Linked DNA regions of Oryzias latipes. The protein of the gene in region 2 interacts with the protein of the main gene of each other region in a pairwise test. Links are inferred from orthologs where the notes say so. Each region holds a gene or a part of one and is shown on either strand. Other genes may lie near its edges.

What was found.
Region 1: the proteins of fhl3 (region 2) and cnnm3 interact in binary tests that used the Homo sapiens proteins (3 or more experiments, as listed by UniProt). The two-hybrid records come from large-scale screens. The link is inferred for Oryzias latipes from reciprocal best matches to the Homo sapiens genes FHL3 and CNNM3.

What each region holds. Positions count from the first base shown.
Region 1 is NC_019870.2:1,781,376-1,787,336, forward strand, and holds the start of cnnm3 (metal transporter CNNM3), read left to right. Parts: upstream 1-2,276; 5' UTR 2,277-2,626; coding exon 2,627-3,286; intron 3,287-3,359; coding exon 3,360-3,694; intron 3,695-5,591; coding exon 5,592-5,768; intron 5,769-5,961. UniProt on the Homo sapiens protein: Probable metal transporter.
Region 2 is NC_019874.2:23,686,820-23,692,205, reverse strand, and holds part of fhl3 (four and a half LIM domains protein 3), read left to right. Parts: intron 1-274; coding exon 275-449; intron 450-1,871; coding exon 1,872-2,041; intron 2,042-2,190; coding exon 2,191-2,377; intron 2,378-4,479; coding exon 4,480-4,631; 3' UTR 4,632-5,386. UniProt on the Homo sapiens protein: Recruited by SOX15 to FOXK1 promoters where it acts as a transcriptional coactivator of FOXK1.

The DNA.
Region 1 (5,961 bases), on a different chromosome or scaffold from region 2:
TCCATGGTGACTCTGGAAATCTGCGATCCATTGAGAATGTCTTTATGTACCTGCTGTGCACGTGCATTAACCCAGGGTTACCAAGTGGAGCGTAATTATGCCAACTCATATCCGGTCTTTTGGAACCGACATACCCAGGGTAAGCAAGTTCAGGCGGATTTCAGCCAGAGTTCAGGGTTAAAGTCAGGGTAGTTTAAACGGGCCTTATGGAATACCCCCCTGCTCTTCTTATTTAGTGTAATCAACACATGGAATAAATAACAAACTTGCTGTTCCTCATAAACAGGAGGGCACCGCCTCCTATTTATGAGGAACTGCAAGTTTATTTATTATATTCTATTTTTTATTTATTATATTATTTAAAATGTATCTTTTTGAATATAAATAAAAACAGGCATATCAATCAATCCAGAATAAATCAAGTTAAAACTTATGTAACGTATAATATTTTGCTCCCCATAAAGATATATTCAATCAAAATTATACAAATAGGAAAATTCTGCAGAAAAAAACAAACAAAGCCTGGAAATATTAATAAGAAGAAATAACAAATCCATTTATTCCGTTTTCTTTGCTCTTTTGTCCATTTTTTTTAGAGCTGGACTCCTGGCATCATTTTTAGCAATGAGTTCATTTCTGCTTGGTGGGTGATGTGACGTCCTGTGTGTCTTTATGAAAAGGATCAGAGGAATTTGATTTTTTCTAAAAACCTGTAATTGGGAATATCATTTTTAAGTCTTATAAAACACTACAAACTAAATCATAGAACTCATCAGTGGGATTACTTCAAAAATATTTGATATTTTCCTAATTCTGTGCAACACCAACAGTAAAAATCCTCCAAAACACCTCAAAGCTAATAATAAACAACTGATCCGTTGTTTCTTTATCATCTCAAAAAGTGCAGCTTTTTTGCTGTCTGCATTACGTTCTGTCTTTATATTAAATACTGACACCAACTAAACCACAGGCAGACGTAAAAAATACATTTTATATGGAAAATAAAGACACGTAATAAAATGTCTCCAATAGTTAATAAATAATGGCATTATCTAGGATAGCACAAGGGTTAAATTTGCGCTCCGGGCAATTGCCCATACTTAAAACCGCTACTGGGTGCAGATGTAGAGCGGTCTACCTCTGATCGCAGGTTCAGGTCCCACCCTGACCGCCCATCATCAGTGTCCCTGGGGAAGACACTAAACCATACGTTCCTGCTGGTGGTCGTAGGTTGGCACCATTGTTCGACAGCGGAGCTGCTATCAATGGGTGAATGGGAATGTGACTTTAAGGCTCCTTGGGCCTTGAGGAGATGGCAATGCGGCATATAAGTTACGCCATTTAAGTTTGTTTTAGATTTTTAAAGACCCATTCTGATGAAATTGTGTTTATGGCGTTTTAATCGTGTTCTTTTCCGATGATGGAGGGCATGGATAAAGAAAATTTAGCTCAAAACTGTATTTCTTTCTTCAAATCATTGTAAATCAGGAGCAGGCGGAAAAATGTAGGTAGATAGTATAGTATAGAGATACAGATACTATCTGTGACATAGAAAATACGCTGGGTGGGGCCACAAGTTCCCTGCTCCGCCCCATTCTGATGCAGACAAATAATTCTATGTGGGTCTCGGCTTTTCTTGCTGGCATCTGGATCAAAACTGGCTCCAATATTGCTCTGCATTTTGGTTGCACAGCTGTTGGGTTGCTGGTAGGATGGGTTATAGGAGTGTGTAATCCGAGAGCTCTCAGGTACAGGGAGGGGAAGGAGGCAGGGTTCCTTCTTGCCAACAGCCCCGCCCACAACTCAGAAGTGAATTTCTAATGAACTCCTGCCGCTCTGCAGAAACTATGTCCTAGAAAACCACAGATTTGTTTGCTATATACAGCATAATCACAATTAAATGACCACTGGGAACATTTTACAATAGATCAGAAATTGACCAGAGTGGGACTTCAATCAATTTCATGGACTGCTTTTATCGTTTTTGTTTATTAATGTGGATGTGTGGTGGATTGTTGATTAATTATTAAGTAAAGCACTTTAAGTTGATGTACAACTTGAAAGGCCCCTATAAATAAAGTTACATTTGAATCTCGACTAGAAAGCGTGGAATAGTGGAGGAAAAAACACTTTCTGATACATTTTTGGTTATAACTTGTAGAGAAAGCTGAGGCAGAGAGTGAGGTGACTTTGGCTGAGCTTCTTTGCGTAGACAGAGAGCAGAGGCCCGCGTGTTCGGACGTGTCAAAAATGTTCTTCACGGTTTAGCAAGCGCTGAGTCTCAGCAAGCGCGAGGGCTCTTCTCCCGCCCACACTTCCCGCCCCTTCCCTGTCCGGCTTCTTCGCGCTCTGATTGGCTGGAGGAGGCGTCCGCAGCGGAGGCTTGTTTTTGTCGAACACAGATGGATGGGAGCTTCTGCTACGTCACAGGGTGGGCGGGGGGGAGGGCTTTCCAAAACAAAAACATTGCGAATCCAGATCCAAAATGGACGCCGTTCCCCCACCGAAGCACAGCTACCGGAGCCAACATGGCCGCTGCGCCGCTCAGTTTCACTGCTGAGATGGGCGGGCCGCTTTGAAGTTGAAGTCACGTGATTCGCACAGGGCCGTGTTGACCCATTCCAATATGGTGGCCAGCCTGGCTCAACGGTTTCTGTTGATGCTGTGGTTCTGCGGGGTCAGGCGCGGCACCTGCGGCGGCGAGGACCCCCACATTCTGGGGCTGCGGGTGGAAGACCCCACGGGAGCGGTGAGCATCAAAGACCGGATCATCTCGGTGCCTGAAGGAGCTTCGTTCCAGCTTCGCCTCTTCGGGGCCAACCTGAATGGAAACGGGACGTTGGTCGCGTTCGCGGCGGGGTTCGGAACCGCCGAGGACCCGTGCGGTTCCGACAGCAGCCGGCTGGAGTCCGCCTTCAGGGTGACGGAGGAGTTCAGCCAGGACGAGGTCCACAGCGGGGTCCTGACGGTCACGGCGAACCGGAGTATCCCCGCGGGCGGGGACACCTTCTACCACCTGTGCGCGCGCAGCGGGGAGACGTGGGCGTCCGTGACCCCGGACAGACTGCGGGTGATCCCCGGCGCGGCCGCGGGTTCCATACCGCCGTGGGGTCTGGCGCTGCTCGTCGCGCTGCTGCTTCTGCTCTGCGCGCTGCTGAGGACGCTGCACCTCAGCCTGCTGGGGCTCGACCCTGTGGAGTTGTACGTGCTGCACAGCTGCGGCTCCGAGGAGGAGAAGCGGGCCGCCAAGCGGCTGGAGCCGGTCCGGAGGAGGGGGAACTTCCTGGTGAGTGTGTGTGGGGGTTGGTGAGGAAGATGCTGGTCTGTTGGCCTTCGCTCAACCCGCCTCTTCTGCGCAGGCGTGCTCGCTGCTGTTCCTGTGCGTGCTGGGACACTCGGTTGTGGGGGTGCTGCTGTACCGGGCTCTGGGCTGCATCGCCTCCGCCGCCTTCACCGGGGGCTTCCTCATCTTCCTCCTGGCCGAGCTGGCCCCTCACATCCTCTGCTCGGGGTACGGTTTCCAGCTGGCGCCCGGCCTGACCTGGCTGGCCCAGGTGTGCATGGTGCTCACCTGCCCTCTGTCCTGCCCCCTGGGGCTGATCCTGGACCTGGGCCTGCAGAGGGACATCAGCACCAACTGCATCAGCGAGCGGGTCTTGGAGATGGTCCGTACCAGCGTCAACGACCCCTACAGGTAAACCGGATCCCATTTGAGGTCCGAATTCTGAGACCAGGTCACCCGGCCGCTGATCAGGACGCTCTGGGCGACCGTGAGGAGGGGTGACCCTCCAGCAAAACCAGAACCGTTATCGGCACTGGAGTTGGAGGCCAAAAAAACATCATAAGAACGTAGTAACCATGACGATGAGACACAGCAACTCATTGAAATGCGGTTTGGATTAGAACATCTTTTAACGTGATCCACATTACTTCTCGCTGTTTTTCTATATGTCATGAACATGAATCAGTGAACCTTCATTCCCGACGTCTCCATAGTAACCACCGTGCAGCACGCCTCCATCGTACCACAGCAAAAAGGGTTCAACCTGACCTTGATACAGACGTTCAAGTTGTAAAGTTTGAATCGGTGAACTGTCCTGACAAGACTGCAAAGAACAGGACGGCCATCATTTCTGTCTGTAGTTGCTTTGCCCCGCCTTCAAAATTCCTGACCAATGACTGAAGAGATCTTTAGTCATGTGGTTTTCTTTACAAGCTTTGGTTCGAAACGGGAAAGTTTCTAGTTTGAATGCAGCCTTAAAGATAGTTTAGGTCTAGTCCTGAAGACAGAAGTGGCTTCCACAGAGGAGGAGCTTAATAACCGATGCTCCGCCTTCATTTTAGTTGAGTACATTCTAGAAGCAGCAGGAAAATCTGGAACTGTTTCAGAGAAAAGACAGAGCTGTACATTTAATTCCAGCTCCTCTGGGATCTTCAGCAGAATCTGGATCCACTTCAGACGGTGTCTTCGGTTCTGATGGAACCCAGATCCTTCAGAACGGAACCGATGTCCTCAGAGAAGTTCTCTGCTGATGACTTTTCACATCTTCAGGATTGTGAGATCTTTTGGCATTCCTGTGAACCTCTTTGGGGGTGCATCTCGCCTGAAGGTGTGCTCCACGCCATCGGTTTCATGCTTGGCGCTCCAGATCCGATCAGGAAACTGGGAACACTCTAGAGCAGTGTTTTTCAACCGGTGTGCCGCGGCACACTAGTGTGTCATGGGAAATGACCCATTCGCTGATCTAAAAACATTTCCCATCTCCAGGATATCAGCTCTGTGTTCATCCAAAAAACCCTGATAAAACACTGAGTAGTTAGGAATACGAAAGATCATAAAATACTTTTTTCTCTGTGCTTATTTGATTCTATTGAAGACATTTTGATAAGAATGATGGTACTGCGATTTAGCCGTAGCGTCAGCTGTTTTCTGAAAAGTCCCGCCCCTTTAACTGTCTCCACCAATCATTCTTGGAGGCTTAATCACACGTCATCAGTCTGACCAATCAGAAGTGGTTAAAGTCTTCACTTCCTTGTTCAGATTCTGCTCATAACGTCTCTCAGTTCCAACTAAAATACCAGCTAAAGTTCGTCTTTAGTGGTGTAGCTTTCCACAGAATCCAGTGTCAGACCGTGGAACAAGTGAACAACACCATGAAGCTCAGAGACGAGAATCTGTCTTCCATTACTACATCTCCCATGATGCATTGGGTTAAAGTGACAGCGTCTCAGCGCACAATGAGTCTCTCCTCTTAACGTCTTGTAACCACAACGAACACATCCAACAGTTTTCTTTTAACTTCACTTTTATTACATCTTTTAGAAAAAACAGCTGCAGCTTCTATCTTTTTCTGCCACAATTATCACAAAAATGTGAGTGAGATCATGGAGGGGCTGTAGATCAATACAGACTATGAGTTTCTCCTTTTTTTTTCTTCCAATTTTTGGATGCTGGTGTTCCGCGGGATTTTTGTCCAGGTTAAAGTGTGCCGTGGCTCAAAAAAGGTTGAAAAACTCTGATCTAGAGGAGCCGGAGTCTCCCTGAGGCTCCTGACGTGACGGAGTCTGTGGTTGAAATGCTCTGTGTGCAGCGAGTTCGTGAAGGAGGAGTTCAGCCACGGGATGCTGCGCACCAAGACGGTGGAGGACATCCTGACGCCGCTGAAGGACTGCTTCATGCTGCCCAGCTCGGCCGTCCTGGACTTCTCCACCATGTCGGAGATCATGCAGAGCGGCTACACCCGGGTGCCCATCTACGAGGAGGAGAGGTGGGAGCTTCACCTTCATCCAAAATCAGGTTTTAAACGGTCAGAAGACTAAAACGGCGTTGGAAAGGACCTCTCACGGCACCCAGAAGGAGTTTAAAACTCCGGGTCTGAGCCTTGTTTGATCCATTTCTCATGGGTTACTGGATTACACATTCCCGGGTTTCTCAGTTCTTCAGTCTTTAGTTAGAACTCC
Region 2 (5,386 bases):
TTTCACACACTGCCTCTGTACTTTTCTTTTGTAAACCTTAATCTCGACACTATGTTAAATGTTCTGGAGTATTGATCTGATCACTGTTGTGAATTTTGTGAACATTTGGTAATTTGAAGTTATTTCTGATTCAAAAAGTGTCTAATGTGAAAAAGGTTGTGGGTTCTTGTTATAAGCTTTAGTTTAAAAAAGTGTTGGAAATGGGACTTTCTTTTCATGGAGCTGCATATAAAATAACTTTCACTAATATTTCCTCTCCATGTTCTGCTGCCAGGAGCTCTTCTACGAGGACAGGCATTACCACGAGCACTGCTTCCGCTGTTTCCGCTGCGATCGCTCGTTGGCTGATGAGCCATTTACCAGCCAAGATAATGCTTTGCTGTGCAATGACTGCTACTGCAATGAATTTTCCTCCAAGTGTGTAGCCTGTGACAAGATAGTCATGCCAGGTAAAAATGATGGATGACTACTTTATTGGAGTAAACCTACCGGTATATTTTGTCTTAATCATAGATTTTTTAAATACAAAATATTTGTTCTTTTAAATACTCTCATGATTTATTAAAGTAAACCTCAGGATTTTATTTAAAAAAAACTATATACTATAACTATAAACTATATACATCCTAAATCTATTAAAATTTTGGATGGCAAAATTAATCTTCAAATAACTTTTACTGTGAGGTGCATTGCTCAACCCTTACTGTTATGTCTCTTCTGCCACGTGATATTTAAAAGTTGAAAATAAGCAAATGACTTGAAAAGTTGATGGCTCTGCAAACAACAGGAAGCTAGGAACAATGAAACTGATAAGGTAAGCAATCAGGCAGACACAAAAGAGGAAGAAGTTGTAGAATAAAAGGGGTGAGAGGGGTGAAGACGAGGGTCCCGAGCTGAGCAGCACCCACAGGTGAATGTGCCTTTGCTCAAACTGCTGCATTGAAGTCAAATCCCAAGAGCTGGTGTGCGGCTCACAAAACCATTGATGGCAACGGATAAGAGATATGCTTTACTTCCAAATTCTCCGTCATGGATTCTAGATCTGACTGTTAAATAAATATAGTTTGACTGAGCAGATTACAATGACCGTTGCCCAGATTTATCTTAAAATAAGCAAAGTTACTTCACATGAGGTACATAAGAATCCTCCATGAAAAGTTCAACAGATGAAGCTCCAAAAAATCCTCACATTGCTCAGCCGAACGCTCAGCTCTTGTTCACTTTATTGACTCCTATGGGGAAAAATAATGGTGTTATCTGTCATTATTTAGTTCACTCAATCATAGATTTTTTACATTTTAAAATATTCACAAACCTACAAATAGGAAAGTTTAAGTTTAAAGCCATCCTTAAATACTGTTGACAGGGTAATGTCTGTTCAAAGGTTCAATAAAAAAACTAAAGTAAATTTTGCTTTTGGTGTTGGTATTGTGTTTTTTAAGCTTACAGGAGTTTATTTATCACAGCCCCTGCCACTACACTGAACAAGGAATTCATTTTACATTCCAGTTTATTCCCTTTTATTGTTGGCTTGCCTAACACAGTGAGTCTTGTGCTACGGTCTGGTAGAATTTATAAAGAGAATTTAGTGTTTTTGATCTGAAAATGGTTTTGTAAAAAAATTGTTTACCATTTCTTAAACCAATCGGAAAAAACATATTCTCCATTACATATTTAAGAATGGTTACCATATGTAAATGATATAAGTCAATAAAAGAATCAGTTAGATAGGGGAATTCAAACGTTAATGTTCCTTTTTTTAAGGTTGAACTTAACCTTATTAGACACATCTCTGATATTTATAACATTATACCATTTTATTTTTATGTGTTTGTGCTTCTTATTAAAAATGTCTTCTCATGCATACACAGGTACAAGAAAGCTGGAATATGCTGGCTCTACATGGCACGAGGGCTGCTTCATCTGCCACAGCTGTGAACAGCCTATTGGCTCCAAGTCCTTCATCCCTGACAAAGACGAGCATTACTGCGTACCTTGTTATGAGGACAAGTTTGCTCCACGGTGCACGCGCTGTAAAAAGGTCAGATTGTTAATTTATATGTATACAGGAATTCAAATTGATTTTTTTTTAAAAGACCCTTCTAGTGCAGTTTTGCAGTTAATGACATTGGTCAGATTTAAAAAATAGAAGATGAAAAACTTATTTTGTGATTTTCCTTTTCCTTAAAGGCTTTGTCTAAAGGTGGTGTGACCTATCGGGATGAGCCTTGGCACAAGGAGTGTTTTGTCTGCACCAGCTGTGAGACCCAGCTAGCTGGTCAGCACTTCACCTCCAGAGATGAAAGCCCTTACTGCCTCAAGTGTTTCAGCAGCCTATATGCCAAGAAATGTGAGGCCTGCTGCAAACCGATTACAGGTAAGATTTTATGGTTTTTGTTTTAGAAGTAAGTTGTAGTGTGCATTAGCATTCTAGTTTTCTTAGCCATTTCTTTTTACATCACATCTTTGTAACATCAAATCCTTCATAGTAAAAGTGTTTTTTTTCTAACAATAATGCATGTTGCTTACAGAGACTACATATGTGCAGAGCAGAAATGTGTTTATTTACTTTAGACAAAAGTTGTCAGTTGGAAAAGCCTTTATACAGGTTGCCTTTAACTGTATTATTTTAACAAGTTAGTTAAATGACAGCTGACAGGCTCAGATTGTTATTTTAGGAATCTGGCAGCGGTGCAGAAAGGCGCTCTTCAGTGATAGACCTCTTTGTTTACGTTCTGTTCCTTCTGCTCTCCATTGTGCCATCTCTATTAGCACTTGTGTTATTTCTGTAGGCTACAAGAAGAAAAGACACTCAAATTCCAGTCTGACTTGACCGTTTATTTTAGCAATCAGACACAGAGAAACTACTATAATCACAATTCATGCCACATGCCAGCTTTATTTTTTTATGACAAGTTTTAACAATTTCAGATGGGAATTTAATTTCACGTCTATCACTATTAATTTGAAGGAACAAATATGGACAACTTACGCCTTTGACCTCCTTCTGTCCAGGAAAAGTTTTTTTGCAGCAAGACACATAATTTTTTGAATACAAAAGTCAAATGCTTGGACATTTTTCCCAAATGCAACATTTTCTAAGATTTTTTTAATGTTTTTTTATTTTGCTTTTTTTTTACCTAGTCATTATGCTTTGGCTAGTGTTCAAATATAAAAAAAGACCAAAGAGCAAAAAAATTGGAAGGTAAAATATAAATGTTGCAACAAATACCATTGCCAGTGTAAGAGTGGGAATAATTAAGCCAGGTCAGGTGAAGGCAGATAAAACTGTCTATGACCAAAATCTCCTTTTTATTTATTTTTTCTAAAATGCAAGTTGTTGTTTGAAAACAGGTAATTTTTGGATCTAAAGTGATTGTTGCACATGTCCCAATTTTGATAGAGAAATATTAGTACTTGATGGACAGGTACCCTGTCTGTGCAGGACGAACACGTGAACATGTCTGTATGACTTGTATGTAAAGCTGAGTCTATACTTTCCAGGAATTCAATGTTTAGGTGATAGAACTCACCTTTGGTTAAGTAATGAGGGGGATTGCATTGTTCTGTTGAAGAGCTGGTATTGACTATTACTGTTCCCAGAATAGTCATCACATAAAAAAGTCAAAATGCACAGATGGGGTTGACTTTGTTTCCAGTTGTCACTGGTGGGTAAAATGCAACATGATCAAAAATCCCAATTTGAAGAATTTAATTCCACATTGAAAATGCAATAGTTGTATGCTGTGTGCTACCAACAAGAGGATACCCATCAGAATACAGGACTACAAATTGAATAAAGCTTAATACAAAGAAATTAAGTTAAAATCTCACTCAAATCATCTTTTGATCCATTGTAAAAGTATTGCTTTCGGTCTTTTAATTATGATGATCGTTTTTAGTCAGCTCGGATGAGGAAAACAAAGAAGTACATGGATTAATTTGTCTGCAAGTGGATGCATCAGAATGGATCGGAGCAGTGAGCTTGTGGCCCACCAATCAAAGGACCTGCAAGCTTTTTCCAACAGCATTTTTGTCTGCTCCTGATTAGCAATGATTTGAATTAATACAAATGATGAGAAAGACTTGTCTTTATATATGTCCTCTATCATCACAAAATCCCACAAGAACATGTTAAAAACTTCAAAAATACAATTTTCATTGGAGTGTCCTGTACTTAAGTACTTTTGTCCTGTACTGAAGAACAGGACATAATACAATTAGTGCTTTTTCTTTTCTTTTTTCTGTAGACTAAATGTGAAAGCCTAAAGAAATTCCATCAGTTAACCAATGACAAGCCTGTAATGTGGGTAAATCTAGTTAAAGGAGTTTTCTGTGGTACACTTCATCCAAGGCAATATGTTTGTAATATTTTTCAAACCCACTCCATTCTTTTTATGATTTGTCTGCAACGCCAGTCCACCTCATTTTATTCTATTAAGACTCATTCCTATACTGAGCTTTGTTTTTCTGCTTCAGGTTTCGGTGGAGGGAAGTACATCTCGTTTGAGGATCGTCAGTGGCATCAATCATGTTTCACCTGCTCTCAGTGCTCCGTCTCACTTGTGGGTGCTGGTTTCTTCCCAAATGGCGACAGGATCCTGTGCCGTGATTGCAACAGCAACCTATAGAGCTTCCCTTTGCTCTAGTCCCATCCCACCTTCATCCTTATTTTTTTACTTTCCAGCACACAGGAAGGTAACACGGGCTATCAAAGGCTGCCTCAGGTCGTTTTTATGAAAAGACTTGTTTCTGTGTAAGATTTTTCTTCTGGAGCGAGCAAAGCTGCTGCATTGATTGCATGAACCGCAACCAAGTTTCTTTTATTAACCAGAAAGTTAATAATTTAGTTTATGGAGTGCCCAATTAACACATGTATGCTACAAAATGCTAAAGCAAAGAACTTAAAGTTGTTTGAGACTTTGTCAAAGATGAAAATGTCACCTCAGGTACAGGTCGAACTGAGGAATGAACAAAGAAAACCGTGCAGTACAGTTTATGAGCCCAGAATTCTGACATAAAAAGGGGGTGAAGCTAGTGTTTTTCCCCTCTAAAAGCTGCAGTTGTATGCATTTGGAATGCTACTTTTCCTCACATCTTTTATCTTTACTATTTCTGACTTTTTACATGTTGGAAAAAGTTTTTGTATATAACGTGGCATGTAAAATGTGGCAAAAATTCAGCATATTAATATGAATTAAAATATTAAAGCGGCCAATGACAAGTACAAGTACGTCGACTTTGGTTTTTGGTAAAATAATGCACTTTGGAAAATGTTGCTCTTTTGTCACCATGTTTTCTGCACATAAAATCACAAAATCACAAAGCAAGACACACATTTTAGTTATTCTTTTCATTTATCTCCCAATACTGAACTTCACAGTTA